3 linked regions of the Oryctolagus cuniculus genome follow. The protein of the gene in region 1 purifies or fractionates together with the protein of each later gene. This does not show direct contact. Links are inferred from orthologs where the notes say so. Each region holds a gene or a part of one and is shown on either strand. Other genes may lie near its edges. The genes, in order: MTNR1A, GNAI2 and GNAI3.

Region 1 (4,361 bases):
ATTCTAATTCAATCCCATCGAGGTGGCATGTACCAATGCCATCTCACTAGTCCCAGTGATCAATTTCTGTTCACAATTGATCATAATGATAGGACTAAGAACCAAAGGGATCACAGAAATAAGAATAGTGTCTGCAAATACTAGCTGATGGAATCAAAAAGGGAGAGAACGATCCAACATGGGAAGTGAGATACACAGCAGACCCATAGAATGGCAGATGTCTTAAACAGCACTCTGGCCTCAGAATCAGCCCTTAAGGCATGCGGATCCGGCTGAAATGCTCATGAGACTATTTCAGGCATGGAAAGCCAAGACACTCTGGGGGAAAAAAAAAAAACCTAAATGAAAGATCTCCACGAGTGAGATCCCAGTGGAAAGAACGGGTCATCAAAGAAGGAGGTACCTTTCTCTGAAGGGAGGAGAGAACTTCCACTTTGACCATGGCCTTGTCTAAATATGATCAGAGTCGGTGAACTCAGGGGGCTTCCATAGCCTTGGCAGCTCATGACAAGAGCCTAGGGTGATTACTGACGCCATAAACAAGAGTGTCAATTTGTTAAGTCAACAACAGGAGTCACTGTGCACTTACTCCTCATGTAGGATCTTTGTCCTTAGTGTGCTGTACATTGAGATTTAATGCTATAACTAGTACTCAAACAGTATGTTTCACTTTATGTTTCTGTGTGGGAGCAAACTGTTGAAATCTTTACTTAATGTATGCTACACTGATCATCTGTATATAGAGAGAATCGAAAATGAATCATGATGTGAAAGGAAGGGGAGAGGGAGTAGGAAAGGGGAGGGTTGCAGGTGGGAGGGATGTTATGGGGGGGGGAGCCATTGTAATCCATAAGCTGTACTTTGGAAATTTATATTCTTTAAATAAAAGTTAAAAAAATTTAATTAAACCAAAAAAAAAAAAAAGCTGAGTTGGCTTAGTGTTTTTAATCTTGGATTTTCTATTCTCTTTTTTTAATCTCTTCATACACAAAATTAAAATAAACCCAATGGAAATGGGAGGAACTAAACAATCATAAGAACTTTTAATAAGCATCCCCAAGCTCATATTTGAATTAAGTATCTCTATTCCTATTTTGAATTGCCATCTCTTCTAGAAAGCCTCAGATGGTTCATACTGCAACAGTGATCCATTTGAGTAAAAAGCGTCTTTATTAAAACAAAAAAGTCCTAATGCCTCACAGATGAAAGGTCATGGAGGATCTCCCGGTCAGCTTCAAGAATGCAGTATTTTATAGATCCTCTTCTCCAAATGCTGCTTAAAAATCAGCTGAATACAAACTAGTGTGAAAGGAGTACCTTTCAAAAAACACAAGAAGAGTTGTTCCAGGTATTTGAACACTTTTTTACTGAAAGTTACTGCAGGACTCAAACTTCCCAAGTGACCAAGAAGCAGGGTGAGCTCTGAGAGTCAAACGTGCTAGCATCAAAACTCCTAGTCTATGTAACCAGGCTACGCCCTCAGTTCTTCCTAGTGGGTAACCTGCTTTCCACTACAGAGAATGACCAACACAGGATTCGGTCCCTTAACTCATGACCAAAAGGGGGGTGGGGGGGGGAGGACTGTGCTACTCAAAAAGGAGGTAAACAAAATGAGAGTATTTACCAACTACCTGGTTAGAACAAAAAGGTCGCTCTGGGAAGATATATAAAATGCATGGATCCTTCCCCAACTCTACCCAAAAGTTTGCCTGGATGAGAAACCAGGTATCTACTCCATCATCATGTTGTGGTGTGCACATCCTGTGTCATGGGGAAACTGTCCACAGGTTCCTACCCAGGATAAATCAGTTCCAATTCGTCACTCGGAGGGAAGAGCAAGTGTAACTCAAGCACAAAATTAGCTTTAGTCCCACGTTATATTCATATGTAAATGTACCCTTTCCTACCACCGCAGATGGAAGCACTTACCGTATCCCAACTGTCTCTCTCCTTTTCTCTCTCCCCCAGTCTGTGTGTGTGTGTCACAAATAAATAATTAAAAAAAAATACGTATCTTTTTTGAAAACCTAAACTTGTGTACTTGGAGGAGCAAAGCCACTTTGCAAGGGACCTACAGTTCCTTCTGATTATACGCCAACAACGGACAACTGCTGGCAACGAAATGAGGCCACTGCTCCTGCACTGGCAAACTTAAAACATCTTCACGTTATCTCAATAAAGTTGAGTGAACTCCGTTACCCTGGAGCAGCCGTCGGTTGGTGGATCTGACTCGAAAGGGCTTCTTGGGAAACTTTCTGCAGCTGTTCCCAGTGTCGCTCAATCTAAGAACCTCAGAACTTCAGAACGGGGGAGCCAGGGGACGGGAACCAGGGACGCGCTGGCCCCTGAGGCTGAGAGAAGGGTCGCTGCTGGCCAGGGTCTCTGCTCGCGACGGCCTGGGTCTGTCAGGAAACGGGACGGAACCGAGGGGCTGAGGCGGGCCGAAGCCGGGGCGCCCTACCTGCGTTCCTGAGCTTCTTGTTGCGATACACAGACAGGATGACCAGCAGGTTGCCCAGGATGTCCACCACGATGGTGAAGATGAGGATGAAGGCGAGCGTGGAGGCCAGCCAGGAGGCGCGCGGCGGCGCCCCGTCCCCGCCGCCCGGCGCCTGCTGCGAGGCGTTGAGCAGCGCGCTGCTGTTACCCTTCATGGTTCCCCCCTGCCGGGGCCGCCTCACGGCCGCCGCCGGACCATCGCCCCGCCACTTTTTATGGCTCCCCTCAGCCCTCGCCGCGCCACCTCCGCCCCGCGGCCACAGCCTGGTGGCACCTGGGGTCGGCGCGAGGCTACTTGGACTCGCGGGCCCCCGCAGCACGTGCCAACAGCGCCCCCGTGCGGAAGCCCGCGCCAGCCGCAGGCGCCCGCAGGGCCAGGGAGGCCGCAGAGGCCGAGGGATCCGCCGCTCCTTGCCTTCTTCTCTGGGGTGGAACGTTGAACCCAACAACGCAAGACTGCAGGCTGGGATCCCGACTCGGGCCCAAGTGAGCTTCTTAGCCACCATGTGCCCCAGTTTCCGAATCTGAAAAATGGGAATAAAGTCGTATCTAACTCATCAACCTCACAGGGAAACGTGGGGAAAAAAGTCAAGGCATCTTTTCTCTTGGTGGGGGTGAGGGGGTACCCTGTTTCACGTTGTGCTGAATGTCTCGGGGAATGAAATGAGATGCAAAGCTATATACAGATGATAGGTGTGCACGTATTTTCTTAAATACCGATAAAAATGAGACGGCAGATATAATTAGATAGAAGATCCAATATACAAGAGCAATCCATGTAAAATTGCCAGGTAATGACTTAACCAGTTTGTGTGCAGAGCAGAGTTTTAAAAAATACTCAAAACTTTCTGAGCACCAATAAATAAAAATAAATGGAGAGAAATATGTTCCTGTATTAAAAGCTTCACATTTTCTCTTCCCCATACTTTATGCCAACTGATAAAAATAGCAAATTATTGTAAATTTCCCCAACAGAATAAGAAGAAAGTGTAGGAAAAAGGAGTTTGAATAAGATGAATAGGAGAGTTATGACTTACCAGTACTAAAATATACTTTAAAAATTACAATAAATGATACTGTTAAGTTCATCAACAGCCAAATATAGTTTAGATAGAGTTAGAGAGAGACAGGTTTGAAAGTAAGCTTTTAAAGAAAATGTAGTAGGATATGTATATAACCTTGGTGTGGAGAAGAATTTGAAGCATGGAAGAGAAAACAGGACAGAAACTAACTATATGAAGACTGGTAGCAGCTATGAATGACAGAACCATGTCATTTCCCAGTTCTGAGGTCACACAGGTAGCAATGGGTTAGGGTAGGATTTGAACTTTGCTCTCTCTGGCTCCAAAGCCATGGAACTCATTACTGAGAGGCAGTGTTTCTCACCAGTGATAGCTTTGACTACAGAAAATTTAAGGCTTTAATATTAAAAAAAAAAAAAAGAAGAAGAAGAAGAAAAAAGTCAAAGGAAAACTGAGAAAGTAATTTGGGACATATCTAAAGAAAAAGCATTAATGATCTTAATTATATGAATACCATTTTTTTTTTCAAATAAACAAGGAAAAATAATAGAAATATATTTAAGGGTATAACTAAACAATTAAAGCCTGGCTGGCGCCACAGCTCAATAGGTTAATCCTCTGCCTGCGGCACCAGCACCCTGGATTCTAGTCCTGGTCAGGGCGCCAGATTCTCTCTCAGTTGCTCCTCTTTCAGTCCAGCTCTCTGCTGTGGCCCGGGAGTCTGCATGGGAGACCAGGAGGAAGCACTTGGCTCCTGGCTTTGGATCAGCGCAGCACACTGGCTGCAACACGCCGGTGGTAGCAGCCACTTGGGGAATGAACCAACGGAAAAAGGAAGAC
Region 2 (4,153 bases), on another chromosome or scaffold:
GAGCTGAACTGGGTAGGGGTGGGGGGCGTCCCTGAAGCAGGAGTGGTAGCGGCTCCTCTGCGTCAAGCTGCCAGGAAAAACCCTCGTGCCAGTGTGTACTACATCTGCCCCTGCCCTGGTGACAGCGACTGTGCCCGCCTCCTGGCAGGGCTACCAGGGACGAGAGGGAGCCAGCGTGCGGGTGGGGCAGCAGGCGTGGTTCTGGCAGACAGAGAAGGCTGGCAGTTACCCAGCCTGAGGCCCGTTGCCTGGACAGAGTCTCCCGCTACGTGAGACAGGCGCCCAGAACTCAGAACCGGCCACAGCCGGGCTCCCACCGCCACCTTCTATCTGGAGGGGAAGGGACGGCTCAAGCCAGGACCCTTCCCCAGCAGCCACAGCAGACAGGGTCCTGCGGTCCAGGCAGAGCTTGGTTTCCCAGCCTCGTGCAGTTCACACTCTGCAGGGTCTCAGTCCCTAGCCCGCACAGCTACCAAACTCCCGCTCTCTCTGTCCTGCCTGAGGCAGCACTTGTTTGGCCCAAACCCAGGAAGCCCATTTTACAGAGGCAGCAAAGGCCAGAGAGGCCTAACACCGGGATGGACGCCTCAGGCCAGAAAGTGCTGAGCCAGACACTGCACTCTGGCTGCTATGGGCCCAGCGGGGGAGGGGCTGCCAGGTCCCACCTGGTCTGGCCCAAAAGCTTCGCTGGGCTCCCAGGGGCATGCCTGGTGGGACTGGGGGACACTTCGGAGTCGGGGCAAAGAACAGGCCAAGCATCCTGTGTCCCCTGACCCTGCGGCCCACTCCCCTGTCCCCTCAGCCACCAGAAGGGCCGTGATCAGCCTAGGGAGGGCTGGCCAGAGGCTCCTGGCTGGGCGCAGGGAGGCAGCGGGTACCGGAAGTGCCCTCCCAGGCCCGGCAGCGACGGGCATTCCGCCGCGTCGACACCCACTCACCGCCGCTGCACTCGCAGCAGACAGGAAGAGGCAAGCGCCCAACGCAAGGCAGCCCAGGAGGCTGGGCCGCCGCCCCTTCCCTCCCCTTCTCTTCCTCCCCGCGGAACGGATGCCATTTTGAAACCTCCGGGGCTGTGCCCCTGAGGCCGGGCCCGCAGGGACAGTCAACAGATGGGCCCATAATAGAGCTACATGCTTTTCCTGGGCCACAGGCCCAGCGTGAAAAGCCCCGCTTTTCACAGCCTGGAGGCTCCCGGGCCGCTCCGAGGCAGAGGGACCACACCCCCACACACGTACTATCCAGCCTGTACCGCTGTTCGGAGGGCCTGCCCCCACCCGAAACCCCCCCAAACCAGGCTTCCACTGGGCACCACCCCTGCTCCCAGCAGGAGGCTGGCCAGGGACCACCAGCAGACCCAAAATCTTTGCAAAAGGCCAGCTCAGATGCCTGGGGGCACCCTGACCCATCACAGCTGGCCCCCCAACCCCTCGCTCAGCTCCACCACCCCCCTCACACAGCCCCAAGATCCGACAGGCCCACCCCCTCGCGGAGCCCACAGCCCAGGCCCCATCAGCGGATCTCCCTGGCGCCTGCAGGGGCAGCAACATGTCGGCTGTCTCACCACTTCCACTTCCCCCACCACCCCAGCAGCCACCATCTTCCCTGGCCTTGGAAGCAGCCACAACCCCGGCCTCCTCCACATGCCCTCCCACTTCACATACTTCCCTCTCGGCAGCCCAGCCAGGCCTTGGAGACGGGAAAACAAATTCCCAAGGAGCGGAGTCTCCCTGGAAAGTTGAGCCTGGCCCCCTCCCCCAGCGGGACCAGTGGAGCCTCAGCCCAGCCCCTTTGGAGGATTTGCCTAAACGTCCCCTCCCCCCGGGGCGGGGGGTCTTCTCAGAGCCAGGCCCACCTGGTGCAGGAGGAGTGGAGGATCAGGGGGCAGCACTTAGGGGAGGAAGGGCACAGGTGTGGCGAGGGAGGCCTGCAGAGATGGGTCTCTAGAGGTTCTGGCTGGAGAGACAGGGCTCCGGAGCAGCCAGCTCCCACCCTGACGGTCGGGGTGCACAGGTGCAGGGCACAGGTTCAGAGGGTGGGTGGGACACAGAATGGGGCAGGGAGCTGGTGGGGCCCTGGGGATGCTCCTGCCCAACAGGAATCCGGGGAACAGGTAGGGGAAACAGGTGAAGCCCAAGGGTGGAGGCAGAGTGGGGTGCCGGGGTCTGGGTAGCAGCTAACGGAGGATGGAAAGGCTATGTGAGGCTGGTCAGTCGGAAGAGACAATCAAGCAGGGGTCTGGGCAGCGATGTTGGGGCACTGCTGGCTTGGTTAGGGGTTGCTGAGTCTGGGGTGAGCTACCCAGGTCTCTGGGTAGGACCACAGGTCTAGATCAACCCAGAATCGCCCACCCTTATTTGCAGGTCTCGGCCAGGCTGCTAAGGGTTCAAGCCCAGATGGGATCCAGACTGGTGAGCCTGAAGCCTCTGTCTTGTCTCTGTCTTGTCTGGGAAGTCAAGGGTCCCAGCGCGGGGCGCGGCCTCACCCAACAACAGCAACTTCACCTCCCGCGCCGCCTTCTCGCCATCCTCCCGCAAGTTCTTGTCGATCATCTTTGAGCGCTCGGCCGCCGCCTTGTCCTCGGCGCTCACCGTGCAGCCCATCCCGCCGTCCGCCGGCCCGGCCGCCGCCCGGCCCCCACACGGCCCACGGCCCGGCTCGGCCCCGCCCGACCCACTCCGCTCCCGCCGCCGGCCCTCCGCGGGTTAGCTCTCGGGTCGGCAGTTCCGAGCGTCTGCGGGAGGCGCCTTCCCCGTGGCCGCGCACCGACGGCGGGGCGGGCCAGGGGTGGGGCCCCGGTGAGCGGAGCCCGGGACTGGGCCGGGGCGGGCCTGGGGGGCGGCACCGTAAGAGACTCGGGGCTGGCGATTGGCTCGAGGGAGGAGCGAGAGGCAAAGTGAGGCGCAGCCCCGGCTGCGGCCGGCTGGAGGCGGGGCCACGCGGAGGGACCGCGATAGCGGTGGAGCCCAACGGGGAGACCGGGCACTGGGCGGGCTGCAGGCGGGGCCGGGCTCCCATTGGGTACCGGGCGCCCGGAGTCGGCGGCGGGCGGGTAGAGTACCCTGAGGGTGGGGAGCCGGTGCCCCGAGGGCCGAGCACGAGCCCGCCCTCTACAAGTAGGGCGAGAGGGGAGGAGGCGTGTCTTCCTCACTTGTTAGTTAATGTACCCAATAAACTCGTTTAGGGATCTGCAGAACCCGAGAGCCTTTCTGGACTGCGGTTTTGGTGTTTTTTTTTTTTTTTTTTTTTTCTTTTCAATCTTAAGCGGGTTTCCTCCCTTTCTTTCTCTGGGTAGTAACAAAATCAAAAACAAAAATAAGTCGATTGCCACCTCCACACCTTGACCTGAGCTGTCTTTCTGAGACATCAGAGTTCACGCACACTTCCCTGATCTGCTGGGAGACGGTGTCCTGCAGCAGCCACCCAAGACTGCAGCCTGGGCCGAGCAACCGGGCCACGAAGGAAAGAGGGAGGGAGGGAGGGAGGGAGAGAGAGAGAGAAAGAGAGAGAAAAAGAGAGAGAGAGATGAGAGAGACGTTACCACCGGGCTTCTGGAAACAAAAGTGACTGTGGTCTTGTATCTTATGACCTGTTCCTTCCACGGTCAGTACCACCTCCCATGTCCCCTCTGGCTGGGCAAAGCTGGGGCGCCGGCAGCACTGTTTTCAGCTGAATCTTTCAAGTCTTTCCAATCCTGCTTTCTGGGGGAACCCACAGCCCCAACCTCAGGTGAACGTGGGAAGTGTTGCAGCGTCCTGAGTGGTCCTAGTGCTGTGAGCCTGGGAGAGCCCGGCCCAGAGGCAGGGAAGATCTCTGATGCCAGGCAGGGTGCCTGTGTGGCCACCCACACCCACACCCCCGTCCCCTCCTCTCTAGCGGGCTCCCAGTTCTGAGTCTGTCCGCTCTCCCGGGAGTTGTCTGTGTGTCTCCCTCTGAATGTCTCCCTTGTTGTCAAGTCCCTGGCCTGTAAGTCTCCCAGTGTTCCCCCGCCGCTCCCTCCTGCCTGGAGCTCAAGCTGGCCCGGCGCAGGCAACAAACATGATAAAGACACATGATGCCCTCCAGGGGCAAACACAGAAATATGCCCTCTACATCAGCACCTAGACCCAGCCCCCAGCATGCCTCAAATTCACAGAGCACATTATAAAAATGACTG
Region 3 (3,583 bases), on another chromosome or scaffold:
TCATTGAAGTGATTTCAGCTGGATAAGAAGGGCAGTGCAGAGTGCAGTGTTGAAGGTGTATACCCTCAACTGGAAAGTGGTGGGGACAGTGCCCTCCTTGCTTTGGTGTTCAACCTTTTCACTCCCAAGACCAGGAAGATTGCTCTTGGAACATTTCTCAGTTCCACAGTTACAGACTTCCTGGAGATTTTACGCTTATGTTGCTGTCGATCCTTGGTGCATCTGTTTTACATAAATGGTATCAAGCAGACCCTGGGACCCTTTCAATAAAGTATACTTGGTTGCTCAGTTATATAAAGAAAGTAAAATTCTCTGAGAAGTGCCATGGTGGTTTCCCTGATAGACATAAAATCCTTACCAACAGTTTCCTTATGAGGGCTTGTGGTTTCCATTAAGCTAGAGCTATCATTTGTGTTGGCTTCATATATTTGTTCTTGGTTTAAGGTTTGTTATTCTTTTCTTTCAGGTGCTGGGGAATCTGGTAAAAGCACTATCGTGAAACAGATGAAGTAAGTTGGAACATGAGCTTTTTTAAGAGTAGATTTCCTCCCAGTGAATAAAAAGTCCATAGTATCTTTTTATTTTAGATTCGTGGTATTGACTTGTAGTTTTCTTCCTTTCAAAGAATCATTCATGAGGATGGCTATTCAGAGGAAGAATGTAAACAATATAAAGTAGTTGTCTACAGCAATACTATACAGTCCATCATTGCAATCATAAGAGCCATGGGACGGCTTAAGATTGACTTTGGGGAAGCAGCCAGAGCAGTGAGTATTTCTCATTTCCTTTTTGCTTGCTCTTATTCAATAGATGCAGTTAAGTTAAGCAAAATTTACTTCATGTTTTAGGGAAATGAAGTTAAACAACAATATAAGATGTAGAAAAGTATTCTTTTTAAAAAATTTATTTATTTGAAAGTCAGATTTACACAGAGAAAGGACTAGAGAGAGAGAGAAATATCTTCCATCTACTGGTTCACTCCCAAATGGCCACAGAGCCTGGGGCTGGACCAGGCTGAAGTCAGGAGCCAGGAGCTCCTTCTAGATCTCATACATGGGTGCAGGGACCCAAGCACTTGGGCAATCCCCCATTGCTTTCCCAGGCGCATTAGCAGGGAGCTGGGTCAGAAGTGGAGCAGCTGGGACTAGAACCAGCTCCCATAAGGGATGCTGTCATCACAGGCAGTGGCTTTACCTGCTACGCCACAACACCGGCCCCTAGGAAAGTAGTTTATGTTCATTTGAGAAGTGTTATCGATCTGCTATAGAAAATATTAGGTATCATCATAAGAAAAAATTAGTAAATGGGATTCAGTGCATATATTGTAGGTTTCTTTGGTAACTTCAACTGCCTCTTTTACAGAACTGTTGACTTTTACAGTAGTTAATAATAAGAGGTAGGGGCCGGTGCCGTGGCTTACTTGGCTACTCCGCCTGTGGCACCAGCATCCCATATGGGCGCCGGGTTCTAGTCCCGGCTGCTCCTCTTCTAGCCCAGCTCTCTGCTGTGGCCCGGGAGGGCAGTGGAGGATTGCCCAAGTTCTTGGGTGCCTGCACCCCCGTGGGAGACCAGGAGGGGGCACCTGGCTCCTGGCTTCTGATCGGCATAGCTCCGGCCATAGCGGCCATTTGGGGGGTGAACCAACAGAAGGAAGACCTTTCTCTCTGTCTCTGTCTCTCTCACTGTCTATAGCTCTACCTGTCAAATAATATAAATAAATAAATAAGAGGTAATTAAAATAATAAAAAGTAAAGTTTATCATGCTTCATAGTTCTCTCTGAGGTATAGATATTAAAGGCAAAAATCTGTCTCCTAAAATAAACTCTGTAAGAATGTGAGCATTCCTTTCTCTCTCTCTCTCTCTCTCTCTTCTCTGTAACTCTACCTCTCAAATAGGGAAAAAACAAACAACAACAAAAAACTGTGAGCATTAAGTACAACTTTAGAGATGATTTTCAAGTATTCAAGAATACTATACCCGGCCGGCACCGCGGCTCAACAGGCTAATCCTCCGCCTAGCGGTGCCGGCACACCGGGTTCTAGTCCCGGTAGGGGCGCCGGATTCTGTCCTGGTTGCCCCTCTTCCAGGCCAGCTCTCTGCTGTGGCCCAGGAGTGCAGTGGAGGATGGCCCAAGTGCTTGGGCCCTGCACCCCATGGGAGACCAGGAGAAGCACCTGGCTCATGCCTTTGGATCAGCGCAGTGCGCTGGCCGCGGTGGCCATTGGAGGGTGAACCAACAGCAAAGGAAGACCTTTCTCTCTCTCTCTCTCTCTCACTGTCCACTCTGCCTGTAAAAAAAAAAAAAAAAAAAAAAAAAACTATACCCTAAACTACATTGAACCATAGACTATTAAATTGAATTATACCATATCCTATTTTAAATCTTTAATGCCTTGTCCGTATCAGATAAAGTCAGTGAATTGAGAGTCTTCCTGAAAAGGCAAAAGGCAAAGCCTCCTTGTCTGTGGTTTAGGAGCTCTTGCAAATAACTTTCAACTTATCAAATGCAAATTTACATTTAATAAGCAGGAAACTAGGGCTGGAGCTGTGGTGCAATGGGTTAATGCCTTGGCCTGAAGTGCCAGCATCCCATATGGGCGCAGGTTCTAGTCCCGGCTGCTCCTCTTCCGATCTAGCTCACTGCTGTGGCCAGGGATAGCATTCCTTGGGCCCCTGCACCCGCATGGGAGACCCAGAAGAAGCTCCTGGCTCCTGGCTCCAGATTGGCGTAGCTCCGGCCGTTTTGGCCATCTGGGGAATGAACTACCGGATGGAAGACTTCTCTCTCTCTCTCTCTCTCTCTCTCTCTCTCTCTGCCTCTCCTCTCTCTGTGTAACTCTGACTTTTGAATAAATAAATAAATCTTAAAAAAAAATAAGTAGGAAACTGTTGAAGGTGAAAGTATTGACAGGGTGATATATCCTATAATACCAAATAGGATTAGGGTAGAAAGTATCTGAAAAGTAGCTTAAGAGAAGGAGGAGCAAGATTAGAGTTTGTAAAATGATGGGAGAGAAGAGTAGCAAAAAAGAAGGCAAGAGAAAATGCATGAGTGTGATTTTTATATTTGTGTAAAAAGGTGCCACATCATTAGAGATTTAACTCCTAGCAGAGAAAGTTGATAGTTCGAACAATAGTCTTTTGTTCTTGTCTTACCCCTTTCTCTCCCTTCCCTTTTCATTCTTTTCTTTGTACCAGCTGATCCTCTGGGCTTATTTTCTCCCTCTCCTTTTTCATTCCTTCTAGTCCCCTAACTCTACTTCTCTGTTGTATCTTTTTTTTTTTTTTAAGACTTATTTTATTTATTTGAAAGAGTTACAGAGAGAGGTAAAGATAGAAAGAGAGAGAAGTTTTCCATCCACTGTTTCACTCCCCAAATGGTTGCAAATGGCTGGAGCTGAGTGGATCTGAAGCCAGGAGCCAGGAGCTTCTGAGTCTCCCATGTGGGTGCAGGAGCCCAAGCACTTGGGCCATCCTCTGTTGCTTTCCCAGATGCATTAGCAGGGAGCTGGATTGGAAGTAGAGCAGCCAGGACTCTAACCAGCTCCCCTATGCGATGCTGGTGCTGCATGCTGGGGCTTT

What was found.
Region 2: the proteins of MTNR1A (region 1) and GNAI2 purify together in Homo sapiens (tandem affinity purification; 3 studies listed by BioGRID and IntAct, with this or other methods). This does not show direct contact. The link is inferred for Oryctolagus cuniculus from reciprocal best matches to the Homo sapiens genes MTNR1A and GNAI2.
Region 3: the proteins of MTNR1A (region 1) and GNAI3 purify together in Homo sapiens (tandem affinity purification; 3 studies listed by BioGRID and IntAct, with this or other methods). This does not show direct contact. The link is inferred for Oryctolagus cuniculus from reciprocal best matches to the Homo sapiens genes MTNR1A and GNAI3.

The regions. Positions count from the first base shown.
Region 1 is NC_091433.1:68,583,740-68,588,100, forward strand, and holds the start of MTNR1A (melatonin receptor type 1A), read right to left. Parts: upstream 2,824-4,361; 5' UTR 2,655-2,823; coding exon 2,462-2,654; intron 1-2,461.
Region 2 is NC_091441.1:99,083,111-99,087,263, forward strand, and holds the start of GNAI2 (guanine nucleotide-binding protein G(i) subunit alpha-2), read right to left. Parts: upstream 2,817-4,153; 5' UTR 2,601-2,816; coding exon 2,483-2,600; intron 1-2,482. UniProt on the Homo sapiens protein: Guanine nucleotide-binding proteins (G proteins) are involved as modulators or transducers in various transmembrane signaling systems.
Region 3 is NC_091438.1:60,832,658-60,836,240, reverse strand, and holds part of GNAI3 (guanine nucleotide-binding protein G(i) subunit alpha-3), read left to right. Parts: intron 1-466; coding exon 467-509; intron 510-625; coding exon 626-767; intron 768-3,583. UniProt on the Homo sapiens protein: Heterotrimeric guanine nucleotide-binding proteins (G proteins) function as transducers downstream of G protein-coupled receptors (GPCRs) in numerous signaling cascades.